2 linked regions of the Stegostoma tigrinum genome follow. The protein of the gene in region 2 binds, or shares a complex with, the protein of the main gene of each other region. Links are inferred from orthologs where the notes say so. Each region holds a gene or a part of one and is shown on either strand. Other genes may lie near its edges.

What was found.
Region 1: the proteins of aagab (region 2) and ap1s3a are in contact, whole or in part, in a crystal structure (PDB 9DDT), measured with the Homo sapiens proteins. The link is inferred for Stegostoma tigrinum from reciprocal best matches to the Homo sapiens genes AAGAB and AP1S3. Residues at the interface, in NP_078942.3 of Homo sapiens: Asn51, Lys52, Tyr53, Tyr54, Glu108, Val109, Met110, Ile111, Gln128, Ile132, Gly135, Phe136, Glu137, Asp151, Phe153, Pro154, Glu155, Arg161, Gln164, Ala165, Asn167, Ala168, Asn169, Val170, Met176; in NP_001034658.1 of Homo sapiens: Arg10, Gln11, Lys13, Arg15, Gln37, Leu40, Ser41, Arg61, Tyr62, Ala63, Ser64, His85, Val88, Asp92, Phe95, Val98, Glu100, Leu101, Asp102, Ile104, Phe105, Asn106.

The regions. Positions count from the first base shown.
Region 1 is NC_081367.1:24,074,401-24,081,948, reverse strand, and holds the start of ap1s3a (AP-1 complex subunit sigma-3a), read left to right. Parts: upstream 1-4,453; 5' UTR 4,454-4,560; coding exon 4,561-4,563; intron 4,564-7,548. UniProt on the Homo sapiens protein: Subunit of clathrin-associated adaptor protein complex 1 that plays a role in protein sorting in the late-Golgi/trans-Golgi network (TGN) and/or endosomes.
Region 2 is NC_081386.1:30,744,886-30,752,630, forward strand, and holds the start of aagab (alpha- and gamma-adaptin-binding protein p34), read left to right. Parts: upstream 1-4,647; 5' UTR 4,648-4,854; coding exon 4,855-4,921; intron 4,922-7,745. Other genes in the region: iqch (IQ motif-containing protein H), read right to left, coding at 4,290-4,331. UniProt on the Homo sapiens protein: May be involved in endocytic recycling of growth factor receptors such as EGFR.

The sequences.
Region 1 (7,548 bases), on a different chromosome or scaffold from region 2:
CTTTTCTCCAGTCCTCTTTAGTCCTGTGACTAAAGAGGAATCAAAGATTTCATATAAGGTCCCAGAAATTTTCTCTCTTACCTCCCTCAGCTTTCTGGATAGATCCCTTCAAGTCCTGGGGACTTGTTTACCTTAATGATTTTCAAAACACCCAACACCTCCTCCTCTTTTATATTTACGTACCCTAGAATATCAACATACCCTTGTCTAAACTTATGGTCCACCGTGGCCTTCTCCTTTGTGAATATCAATGCAGGGTATTCATTAAAGGGCACACTCACATCCTCTAACTCCATGCATAAATTTCTTCCTGTATCTTTGTGCACTTGCCCATTCCCTAGCTATATTCTTGCTGAATTTTCCATAAATCTGTTTGCCAATGTCATTTCATGGTCCCTTTTAGCCCTCTGAACTCCTTGTTTTAGTTCTTTACTGTTTTCTTTATATTCTTCAGGGTTCTTACAGACTAGGTCAATTACAGACCAGTAAGTCTCACGTCTGTTGTCTGCAAGGTGTTAGAAAGGATTCTGAGGGATAGGATTTATGACCATCTGGAAGAGCATGGCTTGATTAAATGCAGTCAACACGGTTTTGTGAGAGGCAAGTCATGCCTCACAAACCTTATCGAGTTCTTTGAGGATGTGAAAAGTTGATGAGGGTCGAGCTGTGGATGTGGTGTATATGGACTTCAGCAAGGCATTTGATAAGGTTCCCCATGGTAGGCTCATTCAGAAGGTCAGGAGGAATGGGACACAGGGGAACTTAGCTGTCTGGATACAGAATTGGCTGGCCAACAGAAGGCAGCGAGTGGTAGTAGAAGGAAAATATTCTGCCTGGAAGTCAGTGGTGAGTGGTGTTCCACAGAGCTCTGTCCTTGGGCCTCTACTGTTTGTAATTTTTATTAATGACTTGGATGAGGGGATTGAAGGATGGGTCAACAAGTTGGCAGACGACACGAAGGTTGGAGGTGTGGTTTACAGTATAGAGGGCTGTTGTAGGCTGCAGTGGGACATTGACAGGATGCAGAGATGGGCTGAGAGTTGGCAGATGGAGTTCAACCTGGATAAATGCGAGGTGATGCATTTTGGAAGGTCAAATTTGAAAGCTGAGTACAGGATTAAGGATAGGATTCTTGGCAGTGTGGAGGAACAGAGGGATCTTGGTGTGCAGATACATCGATCCCTTAAAATGGCCACCCAAGTGGACAGGGTTGTTAAGAAAGCATATGGTGTTTTGGCTTTCATTAGCAGGGGGATTGAGTTTAAGAGTCGTGAGATCTTGTTGCAGCTCTATAAAACTTTGGTTAGACCGCACTTGGAATTCAGAAGGTCAGTTCTGGTCGCCCTATTATAGGAAAGATGTGGATGCTTTGGAGAGGGTTCAGAGGAGGTTTCCCAGGATGCTGCCTGGACTGGAGGGCTTATCTTATGAAGAGAGGTTGACTGAGCTCGGACTTTTTTCATTGGAGAAAAGGAAGGAGGAGCGGGGACCTAATTGAGGTATACAAGATAATGAGAGGCATAGATAGAGTTGATAGCCAGAGACTGTTTCCCAGGGCAGAAATGGCTAACACAAGGGGTCATAGTGGTTGGAGGAAAGTATAGAGGGGATGTCAGAGGCGGGCTCTTTACACAGAGAGTTGTGAGAGCATGGAATGTGTTGCCAGCAGCAGTTGTGGAAGCAAGGTCATTGGGGACATTTAAGAGACTGCTGGACATGCATATGGTCACAGAAATTTGAGGGTGCATACATGAGGATCAATGGTCTGCACAACATCGTGGGCTGAAGGGCCTGTTCTGTGCTGTACTGTTCTATGTTCTATGTTCTATCTGACTTCAGTTTCCTAAACCTTAGGTATGCTTCCTTTTTGTTTCTGACTAAGCTCGTAATTTCTCTTGTCACCCAAGATTCCCAAATTGTGACAATCTTATCCTTAATTTTCACAGGAACATGTTGGTCCTGAACTTGAATCAACTGGCCTTTAAAAGATTCCTACATAACAGATGTAGATTTACCATCGAATAAGCACCCACAATCGACAGTCCCCAATTCCTGCTTAATATCATCACAGTTAGCATTTCCCCAGTTTAGTACTTTTACCCAAGGACTATTCTTATCCTTATCAATAAGTAACTTAAAACTAACGGAATTATGATTCCCAAAATGCACCCCAACTCGAACTTTGATCACCTGCCAGGTTCATTCTTCAATATCAGGTCTAAAATGGCCCCTTCCGTAGTTGGACTATTTACATATTGCTTCAAGAAACCCTCCTGGACTAGTCTAACTAACACCTATCCAAGCCTCTGGCACTAAGGGAGTCCCAGTCAATACATATACAAACTTAAAACCTCCCACTGCAACAACCCTGATGTCTTCACATTTCTCCATAATCGGTACACAATTTTGTTTCTTCACCCACTGGTTACAGACAGCATGTAGTACAACCCTGTCATAGTGATTGCACCCTTCCTATTTCTGAGCTCTACTCATATGGCCTCGTTGAATGAGCGCTCCAACGCCTCCTCTCTCAAAGTAGTTGTGATATTCTCTCGACTCAATACTGCAACTCCTCCACCTCTTTCACGCCCCTGTCAATCTCACCTGAAACATCCAAATCCTGGAACATTAAGCTACCAGTCTTGTCCCTCTCGTAATCAAATCTCTGAAATAACTACATAAATAACTATATGATAAGTTCATTTGCCTTACCTGTAATACATTTTACGCTAAAGCTAATGCACCTCAGACAGCCAGCCTCCACAATATCCTCTTCCTGCCTGTTCTTTTGCATAGCTTTACTCTCAAACTTCTTGGTTATTTCACTTGATGAATTACTGCCTTGATTTCCGCCCTGCTGCCTTACTAGTTTAAACCCTCTTGAGTGACAATACTGCCAAGTCTCCCTGGCAGTAAACTGGATCCCCTCCAGTTTAGGTGCAACCTGTCCTTCTTATATTGCTTCCACCTGCCCTGGAAGACATCCCAATGACCAACATATCAGAAGCCCTCTCTCCTACACCAGCCCATTCACCATATTTTTAACTGTACTCTCATCCTATTCCTAGTCTCACTGGCACATGGCACAGGGGATAATTCTGACATTACAACCCTAGAGATCCTGCTTTTCAACTTACTTCCTAACTTCCTGAACTCCCTTTTCAGAACCTTCCTGCCATTGTCATTAGTACCAATATGTGCCATGAGCACAGGCTGCTCGCTCTCCCTTTTGAGAATGTCCTGTATGCCCTCAGAGAATCCATGACCCTGGCATCAGGTGCTGGTGTAGGGGGGGAAACAACACACTATTGTGGGGAGTCCCTTTCGCTCCACAGAAGTGCCTATCTGTGCCCCTTAATTTGTGAACACCTTAATGGGAACACCAATGGCTTGCAAACTCAGCCAAATCGAGCTCCTGGGAAGTGTTTATTGTACCCCATTTTCAAAGTTTAGTAGACTACCACAATGTGAAGGATTCATAGGTTACACCTGTGTTGTTATACTTGCTTCCTTCTTTAGCTATGCCACCAACTATGTAATGGGAAAAGACTTTGCTCTTTCAATATTTGACTTGTTTGGAATTAGCAGAACTCGGACAGGCAAATGATCCCTTACATTCATGGCAGCTTGCCCTCATGTTTTGTTTCCATCACTTCCAGTGCACTGTTCTGTCTCCCAGAACTCAACAACCTTCACCATTTTGTGGGTAAAGTGGTGGAGCACAATGTCCCTTCAACTTTTCTCATCCTGATGGCCTGCCATCATTTTCAAAAAGAATGAAGCAGTAATTGTATTTTGGGCCCTGTACAAATCAAATGACTACATGCTAGACTGGTTAAAATGTTCATTTTTAAGGAATGCTTTAATGACTGAAAGAGAGGTAGAGAGAATCCGTAAGGGAATTGTCCAGCTTAGGATTTTGACAGTTGAAGGTAGAGCACTATTTAAAATCAGGTAGACTCAAGAAAACTGAATTGATGTAGTGTTGAGATCGAGATCTTAAGGGCACATGGATGAAAAAGATCATAGCAATTGAGCGAATAGATTCACTTGGAACAATTTGGAAACAGGAATGAAGTTAAGATTGATCAGGACATTGAGCAACTAAAATAATACAAAGGCATATAAATGTAATTAAGTACATTTATAAATAACATAGCATATAGAATATTTTACATTCATTTGCTTGACAGAAGTTTTTACTGAACTGTAGAATTTTAAAATCGTCATTACATAACTTGTCACACTCAAAGAATAACTAATAAATTAAATGGTAATATATTTTTTGCAAGCTTAATAAGATTTTGTCTGTCCTACATGTGTAACACATGAAATATTAATGGCTCAATGAACTGTACAATGAAACAATAAAGTAGTAAAGATTCTCTAAACTGCTGTTTTAATGCAGGTTAATATGTAATCCCAGGGCAGGGAGGAGCCTTAAACACACAGAATTGTGGGATAACTACTATAGGTTCCTGAATGCAAGCTTCCCAGGAAATGTTTTGTGTTCAGATTTTGAGGTTAAATCCATCCATCCATCTTTTGCTTTAAGGCAGAATGGTAAGTTTTTTTCTTAAAAAAATGCATTTTTTTTTCTTAGGAGTGTCTTAGATCTAATTACAGAGTAATGTTGGCAAGCGTAGATATCAGTTACTTCACCTGTTTCTGCAGGTGAAAATACAAGTACTCACCTGGCCTATATTGAAAAGAATAGTTTAGTAATATTTAGTTTAAAACACTTACTGTGCTTTAAATAAACAGATTAGGCAATATACTATGTAAAATATTAAAGGCTATAGTTTACAAGATTTTGAAGTCAATTATACAGGCAGTATTATAACTCTATTAGCTACCTTTGTATTTAACTAATCAGGTTTGAAGGCATTGCTGAGATTAGAGTGGAGATTTAGTTTATTTGAATCAAAATCATTACTCAAAACGATTTTATACTAATGGTAAATAACCCATAATGCAGCGGCTGTCTCATTTTAAAATAAAGACCAAATGCTGGAAATCTGAAACAAAAACAGAAAAGCATTTGATGGTTAAAAGTTAGAATTCCAAATGCAAACCTAGAATCTAAACAAAAGGGAGAAAAGCCTTTTTAGAAATGAGAAACCAGTCCAACAAAGTGATTTTTGTATGACAAGCAGGACATTTAAAACTCCATGAAAATGTAGGAAATAGCGAGTTTTGAGAAGATTTGTAGCTCAGGTTGAGTTTCTGGATGTGAGTTTGCTCGCTGAGCTGGAAGGTTAGTTTTCAGACGTTTCGTCACCTTTTTTTTCTATTTGAAAAAATATACTTTATTCATAGAATGTGCAAAAAATAAAACATTTATACACCTACCCAGTCATGCAAGCCACTCCGGGTTACCCAGGGGGTACGTACACCAACTAAAGGAAAAAACAAAAGAGAGAAAAAAAACACAAAGCAAAGAAACCGCCCCGGCAGTCGTCACCCCGCACAGTCCCAGTTGGCCCCCTGACCAGTTGGGGAAGGCGCCAGCTGGGCCCAGTTACCAGATAGGGCCCTTTTTTCTATTCTGGACGAGGGGTTTCATACCGTGGTCTTTCCCCACCGCGCCTTGGCGGTGGCTGCCCCAAGCTTTAGCGCGTCCCTCAGCACGTAGTCCTGGACCTTGGAGTGCGCCAGTCTGCAACACTCGGTCGGGGTCAGTTCTTTCAGCTGGCAGACCAAGTTGCGGGCAGACCAAAGAGCGTCTTTCACCGCATTGATGGTCCTCCAGGTGCAGTTGATGTTGGTCTCGGTGTGCGTCCCCGGAAACAGCCCGTAGAGCACGGAGTCCCGCGTCACAGAGCTGCTCGGGATGAACCTCGACAAATACCACTGCATCCCCCTCCAGACCTCCTGCGCATAGGCACACTCCAGAAGGAGGTGATCGACAGTCTCGTCCCCCCTGCAGCCACCTCAAGGGCAGCGAGCGGTGGTGCAGAGATTCTGGGCGTGCATAAAGGATCTCACTGGCAGAGCCCCTCTTACCGCCAGCCAAGCAATGTCCTTGTGCTTGTTTGAAAGTTCTGGCGATGAGGCATTCTGCCAAACGACTTTGGCAGTCTGCGTGGGGAACCACACGACGGGATCCACCCTCTCTTTTTCCCGAAAGGTCCCAAGGATACTACGTGCTGACCACTGCCTGACGGCCTTGTGGTCAAAGGTGTTTCCTTTCAAAAATTTCTCCACGAAGGACAGGTGGTACGGAACGGTCCAACTACTCGGAGCGTTCCGCGGCAACGAGGCCAGGCCCATCCTTCGCAACACCGGGGACAGGTAGAACCTCAGTAAGTAGTGACACTTGGTGTTTGCATACTGAGGATCTACGCACAGCTTGATGCAGCCGCACACAAAGGTAGCCGTCAGGGCGAGGGTGGCGTTCGGTACACCCTTTCCCCCATTTCCCAGGTCTTTGTACATGGTGTCTCTGCGGACCCGGTCCATCCTCGACCCCCAAATGAAATGGAAGATGGCCCGGGTGACCGCAGCGGCGCAGGTCCAGGGAATAGGCCAGGCCTGCGCCACATACAACAGTACCGAAAGCCCCTCGCACCTGACAACCAGGTTCTTACCCGCGATGGAGAGGGACCGGAGCGTCCAACTGCCCAGCTTCTGCTTCAATTTGGCGATACGCTCCTCCCAAGTCTTAGTGCATGCCCCAGCTCCACCAAACCAAACACCCAGCACCTTCTGGTAGTCTGTCCTGACGGTGAAGGGGATGAAGGAGCGGTCATCCCAGTTCCCGAAGAACATGACCTCGCTCTTACCCCTATTGACTTTGGCACCCGAGGCCAGTTCAAACTGGCCGCAGATGTCCAATAGTCTACTCACCGACTGACGATCGGTGCAGAAGACGGCGACATCGTCCATGTACAGGGAGGTCTTGACCTGAAGGCCTCCGCTGCCTGGGATAGTCACGCCCTTCAGGCTCACGTCCTTCCTGATGGAGGCGGCGAAGGGCTCCACACAGCACACGAACAAGGCAGGAGAGAGCGGGCAGCGCTGCCTGACTCCAGATCTAACAGGAAAACTGTCTGATTCCCACCCGTTGATCGGGACTGCGCTAACGATGTTGGCGTAGAGCAGCTGGATCCAATTGCGGATGCCCTCCCCGAACCCCAATTTGGAGAGGACGTCCCTCATGTAAGCATGAGAGACCCTGTCGAAGGCCTTCTCCTGGTCCAGGCTGACGAGGCAGGTGTCCACCCGCCTGTCCTGTACGTAGGCGATCGTATCCCTGATGAGCGCGAGGCTCTCAGCGATCTTCCTGCCTGGCACAGCACAGGTTTGGTCAGGGTGAATCACTGACTCCAGGACAGACCTGACCCGGTTGGCAATGAACTTGGCCAGGATTTTATAGTCCATGTTCAAAAGTGAAATAGGACGCCAATTCTTAATTTCTTCCCTCTCCCCCTTCCTCTTGTAAATGAGGGTGATGATGCCCTTCCTCATGGACTTGCACATTTCCCCTGCCCGAAGCGCACTATCGTACACCTCCAGCAGGTCCTGGCCGACCAGGCCCCACAGAGC
Region 2 (7,745 bases):
TAATAACATGGGCTTGATCTAAGACAAGGATGTTGGGATTTAAAAGCAGTTGCCAATCCAAACAGACATCATTTAACAACTAGCCTTGAATTAACCTCAAACTGTGCCAGCTTACATCAATTTAGTACTGTGACTCTCAAGAACAGTTGGCCTAAACTCATCCCCATATCAATTGCAGGCAGCTTTCTTAACAGCATCCATTTTATACATATCAAGGCGAGCTATTGAGACCTAAATTTCCCCCTCAAACAGCAATATGATAATGACCTGAAAATTTCTGGGGTTTAGTTTTGGGATTTCAAAAGGAGACAAACATTGGCCAGGAAATATATAGAATCATAGAATGATACTACACAGAAAAAGGGTATTTGACTCATCATGCTGTACCATTCTTTAAAACTTATGAATTAGTCCCACTGGTCTCAATTTCCCCATAACCCTGTAAAACTTTTCACTTGAAGTGTTTATCTGATTTCCTTTTGAAATACCGTAAGGAAAAGGAGTAGGCTATTCAGCCCTTCAAGCCTGCTCTGCCATTTAATAGGATTGTGGTTGATCCATCACTCATGTCCATTTTTCTGCCCTTGATTCCCCAACTGATCAAAAATCTAGCTATCTATATATCTCAGCCTGAAATATACACGAGGACTCTGCCTCACAGCCCTCCGTGACAAGGAGTTCCAAAAACTCACTACCCACTGAGATAAGAAATTCCTCCCAAGAGAGAATACATCCTCTCAACATTTACCCTGTCAAGCCCCTTAAGAATCCCATTTATTTCAATGAGATCATCTCTCATTCTAAACTCCAGTGAGTAAAGTCTCAACCCGTTTAGCCTTTGGTCATAAGACAATCCCTCCATATCGGATCATCCTAGTGGACGTTCTCTGAACTGCTTCCAATAGTATATTTTCTTAAATGAGGGAACCAAAACTGCTCACAGTAGTCCAGATGTGGTCTCACTGGTAAACATGCAGTAAGACTCTTACACACCAAACCCCTTGAAATAATGGCCAAAATTCCACAAGCCTTCCGAATTACCTGCTGCACCTGTGTGTTAGTTTAAGATAACAGGGTGTAGAGTTGGATGCACACAGCAAGCCAGGCAGCAGAGGAGAAGGAAAGCTGATGCTTCAGGTCTGGACCCTTCTTCAGAAAATCAAGACCTTTTTGAAGAAGGGTCCAGACCTGAACCATTAGCTCTCTGTTCCTCTGATGCTGCCTGGCCTGCTGTGTTCATCCAGCTCTATACCTTGTTGGCTCAGACTCCAGCATCGGCAGTTCCTACTATCTGTGTCAACAAAGTGTGGAGCTGGATGAATATAGCAGGCCAAGCAGCATCTAGGGAGCACAAAAGCTGACGTTTTGGGCCTGCTATGTTCAGCCAGCTCACACTTTGTTATCTCAGATTCTCCAGCATCTGCAGTTCCCATTATCTCTGACCCCTACTATCTGTGTGCTAGTTTTCTGTGTTTAATGAACCAGTCTTGCCGAGTCCCTTTGTGTTGCAGCTTTCAGTGTTTTTTTCTCTTTCCATTTAAATAATATTATGCTCTTTGTTCTCCCTTCTAAAATGAACTTCACACGTACACACATTATCCTCCAACTGCTAAATTTTTGCCCATTTACTTGACCGATCAACACCTCTCTTGTATCGTTTGTGTACCCGTTGTAACCTGAGTTACCACCTATTTTGTGCTGTCTGCAAATTTGGCTGCAGTACATTCACTTCCTTCCTCAAGTCATTAATATATTGTAACAGTCACAGCATTGATATCCATAAAACCCCAGATATTACAAGTCACCAACACGAAAAAGAATCCCTTATCCCCACTAACTGCTTCTTTACCATTAGCCAAATCTCTGACAATGCTGTTGTACTACCTCCAATACCTTTTGTGAGGTACTTTGTCCGACAACTTCTGGAAGTCAAAATATAATGTTTAAACATCTTTCATCAGAGTGACTGCAGATGTAGCTGATTAAAATAATAAATGTGACATTTACCAAGCAAAAATCCAAACATATAATATTTTATTTTCTGAACATCTTTAGGTTACATCCCACCAACTACTCAGTTTCCCTGAAACATGAATTACAGTAATTATGCCAAAGTACTAAATAAAAATAAGGAAAAGCTTTAAAATAGGGGCTAAATTATAGAAGCTAGGATCAGAAGTAGTCCATTTGGCACTTTGGGCGTGCACCATCCTTCAATAAGACCATGGCTGATTCTCTATTTTACCACTTTCTCTCAATAAACCTTTCCATCTTTAATATCTAAAAGAAAGATCAGTTTCTATCTTGAGTATGCACAGCATCCAGGCCTCTCAGTCTTCTGAGGCTGACCATGCATTGACTGAAGAAATATTGCTCCATCTCAGTCTTACATTATATCCTGAGACTGTAACCCCCGGTTTTGGATGCCCCAGCCAAGGACACCGTTCCTGCAACTAGTCTGTCCAGCTCTGTTAGAATTTTATATGTTTCAATAAGATACCCTCTCATGCTTCTAAACTCAAGTGAACACAAGCCCAGTCAAATCAATCTCTTCTCATATTGCAGTCCTGCCATCCCCAATGCAGCCTGGTAAACCTTGGCTAAATTCCCTCCATGGTCAGTAGACCCTCTCTTTGGTAGAGAGAGCAAAACTACACAAAACACCACGTGTACTCTCACCAATGTCCGGCACAACTGCAGTAGGGCAGATTTTCGATGTGTTTGATTCACTTGCTATTTCTTTATTTCCTATTATAATTGCATTTATTTCTAATTGTTTGGGGCCGACATACACCTTCACTAATCTTTTCCTCTTTGTAAGTGTCCCATCTTTCACCTGATTAAGGCAGTTAGTCTTCATCTCCCCAACAGATAAATATTTTTAAGTAATACTACACAAAAAAAATTAAAATATAAAGAACAAATATTAATTTTATATTGGCAACTGAATTGCAGCTGCATGCTGAGGTCCTGCCCTATAATCCTACGTTCCCCTTCAACTGAACACAATTTGTGATCATTTCCAATGTGTAAAAATACTGGAAACTGACTGATATTAAATAATACATTGTATAATGCACTATTAATGATAAAACTGCCTATCCTGTGTACTTAAATCTGAAATCCTCTGGTCCATACACAATGTCAATAACACAGAATGTTACAGCATAGAAAGGAACCATTCAGCTCGTTTTGCCAGTACTTGTTATTTGGTTAGTTCCAACCTTCCAGCTTTTTCACATATTTTTGTCTTGTATTTTCCTATTAAAGTATTTATCCAGTTCCCTCGAAGACTATCATTGAATTGGATCAGCTCTTACTTAGTCAGAAGATTTTATCCTGCAGCAGGGCTTAAATACAAAATTCAAGGATAACACTCCTGTGCTGTACCAAGGAAGTGCTGTATAATTAGAGGAGTGATACTTCAGAAAAACACATTAAACGTTCCATCCCAGACAGGTGTAAAAGATCCTATTGCACTATTGTGTAGAACACAAACTCTCCCAATGCCCTGTCCAATATCTACCTTTCAACCCATTCTTTTCCTATGGCAAAAACAGAAAAGCCTGGAGAAACTCAGTAGGTCTGGCAGTGTCTGTGGTGACAGAAGCAGAGTTAATCTTTTGACTTAGATATGACTTCTTCAGTAAAACAGATTAACTTTTCATTATCTCATTGCTAAAATAAAACAAAGAATTGGCGCAGGAAATTGGAAGCAAAAAGAGAAATTGCTGGCAAAACTCTGCTTTCTCTCCTCAGATGCAGCCAGACCTGCAGAGTTTAACATTTCAAGTTCAGTAACCCTTCTTCAGAACTGGGTACAAGACTTCAACTTTGTTTCTCTCTCCACGGCTGCTGCCATACTAGCCAAATTTCTCCAGCAATTTTTGTTTCTATTATTTCATCACCATTTGTCGGAGATCAATGTGAGCAAACTGGCTACCACATGTTAGAAGTAACTGCACTTCAACAGTTGATTCACTGGCTTTAAAATGCTTGAAGATATGCTGTGGTCTTGGGGGTGCTACAGAAATGCAATCCTTTTACCTCACAACGCCCCTTTGAAAACTGCCAATGAGTCTATGCTTCCAGGTAATGAAACATTCAGCCTATCCTGAAGAAAGGTCACTGAACACGAAAGGTTAATTCTGCTTTCTGTCCAAAGATGCTGCCAGACCCTGCTGAGTTTCTCCAGCTGTTTCTGTCTTTGTTGCTGAAACATTCAGTTTAATTGGCATATGAAGGCTTTGGTTCATTTAAAAGAAATAAACGTTACTCCTTTTAAGTACCTTGACCAATACATGTCCCACGTCAGTGTTGCTGTTTGCCATGTTGTGGAGACAGTTCAGTTTCTGCCAGCTCTCACCATCCGTCCATTGCCTGTTGTCATCCACCTGGCCCTCCTGGGGTTCCCATGGCAACTGAACACAGCCTCTACCATATGAAAATAGGGAAATTACTAACTTAACGGTGAATAGAAAGTTACTCATTCTCAGCTCCAGCAATCCATTGTTCTAACAAGATACAACCTCTACAATGTTCTGAAATACCTCGTCACTCCTTGACTTTTTTTCTTGCTCACACTTGTAAGCGATGAAAGCCAGCGTTGAAACCCCCCCCAGCACAATGGTACATTCCACACCCCGAGGCCGAAAAGATTGAAAACCGAGGCTCCAGCAGGAGTAAAATGTGGCATTAGACGTGCCAGACTTAGATAGTATCTCCTGTATGGTGCGGTTTGGAGGGGAGGGGAAAGGGCAAGTTCCAGTACGAAGTGAAAGGCGTCTTTGACACCGGCGGCTGTTCGGGTGAGAGGTCAGAGTTCAGGGTCGGACTGGGCCGAGCCGAGTCGGGATGAAGGTTCCCAGCGTTTTGCTCGTCAGCTGCTGCCCGGGTTTTGTGGAGGAGACGCTAGTGAAAGGTGAGTGGAAGTACCAAGGCTGGGAAGGTAACGTGGCCTCCCGTGCACTTTGCCTCCCCGGGATGGAGGAGGCCTGACATCCCGACAGTCAAAAGCTGAGATAATAAAATGTGAGGCTGGATGAACACAGCAGGCCAAGCAGCATCTCAGGAGCACAAAAGCTGACGTTTCGGGCCTAGACCCTTCATCAGAGAGGGGGATGGGGGGAGGGGGAGGCGGACCGAAGATGGAGAGTAAAGAAGATAGGTGGAGAGAGTATAGGTGGGGAGGTAGGGAGGGGATAGGTCAGTCCAGGGAAGACGGACAGGTCAAGGAGGTGGGATGAGGTTAGTAGGTAGATGGGGGTGCGGCTTGGGGTGGGAGGAAGGGATGGGTGAGAGGAAGAACAGGTTAGGGAGGCAGAGACAGGTTGGACTGGTTTTGGGATGCAGTGGGTAGAGGGGAAGAGCTGGGCTGGTTGTGTGGTGCAGTGGGGGGAGGGGATGAACTGGGCTGGTTGAGGGATGCAGTGGGGGAAGGGGAGATTTTGAAACTGGTGAAGTCCACATTGATACCATATGGCTGCAGGGTTCCCAGGCGGAATATGAGTTGCTGTTCCTGCAACCTTCGGGTGGCATCATTGTGGCAGTGCAGGAGGCCCATGATGGACATGTCATCAAGAGAATGGGAGGGGGAGTGGAAATGGTTTGCGACTGGGAGGTGCAGTTGTTTGTTGCGAACTGAGCGGAGGTGTTCTGCAAAGCGGTCCCCAAGCCTCCGCTTGGTTTCCCCAATGTAGAGAAAGCCGCACCGGGTACAGTGGATGCAGTATACCACATTGGCAGATGTGCAGGTGAACCTCTGCTTAATGTGGAATGTCATCTTGGGGCCTGGGATGGGGGTGAGGGAGGAGGTGTGGGGACAAGTGTAGCATTTCCTGCGGTTGCAGGGGAAGGTGCCGGGTGTGGTGGGGTTGGAGGGCAGTGTGGAGCGAACAAGGGAGTCACGGAGAGAGTGGTCTCTCCGGAAAGCAGACAGGGGTGGGGATGGAAAAATGTCTTGGGTGGTGGGGTCGGATTGTAAATGGCGGAAGTGTCGGAGGATAATGCGTTGTATCCGGAGGTTGGTAGGGTGGTGTGTGAGAACGAGGGGGATCCTCTTGGGGCGGTTGTGGCGGGGGCGGGGTGTGAGGGATGTGTCGCGGGAAATGCGGGAGACACGGTCAAGGGCGTTCTCAATCACCGGGTGGAAATGGTTTGCGACTGGGAGGTGCAGTGGAAATGGTTTGCGACTGGGAGGTGCATCCACTCCCCCTCCCATTCTCTTGATGACATGTCCATCATGGGCCTCCTGCACTGCCACAATGATGCCACCCGAAGGTTGCAGGAACAGCAACTCATATTCCGCCTGGGAACCCTGCAGCCATATGGTATCAATGTGGACTTCACCAGTTTCAAAATCTCCCCTTCCCCCACTGCATCCCTCAACCAGCCCAGTTCATCCCCTCCCCCCACTGCACCACACAACCAGCCCAGCTCTTCCCCTCTACCCACTGCATCCCAAAACCAGTCCAACCTGTCTCTGCCTCCCTAACCGGTTCTTCCTCTCACCCATCCCTTCCTCCCACCCCAAGCCGCACCCCCAGCTACCTACTAACCTCATCCCACCTCCTTGACCTGTCCGTCTTCCCTGGACTGACCTATCCCCTCCCTACCTCCCCACCTACACCCTCTCCACCTATCTTCTTTACTCTCCATCTTCGGTCCGCCTCCCCCTCTCTCCATATTTATTCCAGTTCCCTCCCCCCATCCCCCTCTCTGATGAAGGGTCTAGGCCCGAAACGTCAGCTTTTGTGCTCCTGAGATGCTGCTTGGCCTGCTGTGTTCATCCAGCCTCACATTTTATTATCTTGGAATCTCCAGCATCTGCAGTTCCCATTATCTCTGATACTATTTTAACCCCCAGTCAAAAGCTGAGAGGCGGCCTCGGTATGACCGGCGCTGGGATGGTGATGTGGGAGGCCTCTTACCATGGGATGGGGGCGGGTCACTCCATTCCCCATTTATATTAACCCCCCCAATTGAATTACATTGAATCTGTTCCACTTCTGTGTATAATAACCTGGGCTGACGCTCCATGTAGAGCCTTGAGAGAGAGCTGCTTAGCTGAGACCCCATTTGCCCTCGAGTAGATGCAAAAGATGTGTTGGAGCAACTGCATTTTAAAAGACGGTGCGCTGGCCAGTATTTACAATTGAAATGATGCAGTACTGGTGGGAGCCGGCATAGTTTAATGTGTACTTAAGAAAAATGGACTTTAAAAGGAACTCCGTTTCAGGGAAGGTGAAACTTAGAGGGCTGGTCAGATGTACAAAGAAATAGCCAGCTCTAGAGATAACAACGGTAGGGGTGGAGGCTTCAGTGGCCAATGAGCTAAGACGGAGTTGATGCCGAACCGTGCTATGGAGATAGTAATAAGTGCCCTGAGTGATTCCATGGGTATGTGGTTGGAAGCTTAACGTCAGGTGTGATACTAATATTGCAAACTGCCTAGTTCACTCTCCTGTTTGCTGGGGGGAGGGATGGAGTTGGTAGTTAGGGAGCAGTTTGTCGTGGAGACAGAAGACATATAAAAGCAAAGTAATTTGCTGGATAGCTGAAATAAAAACAGAAAGTGCTGAAGAAACTCACCAGGTCAGGCAGCATCTATGGGGTGAGAAACAAAGTTTTTTTGAGTCTGTGACTTCCTCCAAATACAGACGACAGTGGCTTTGGTTTTCCCCATATTTGGGTGAAAGAACTTTCTTTTTGTCTATTAATGTATGTCAGTCAACTAGTTGCTGATT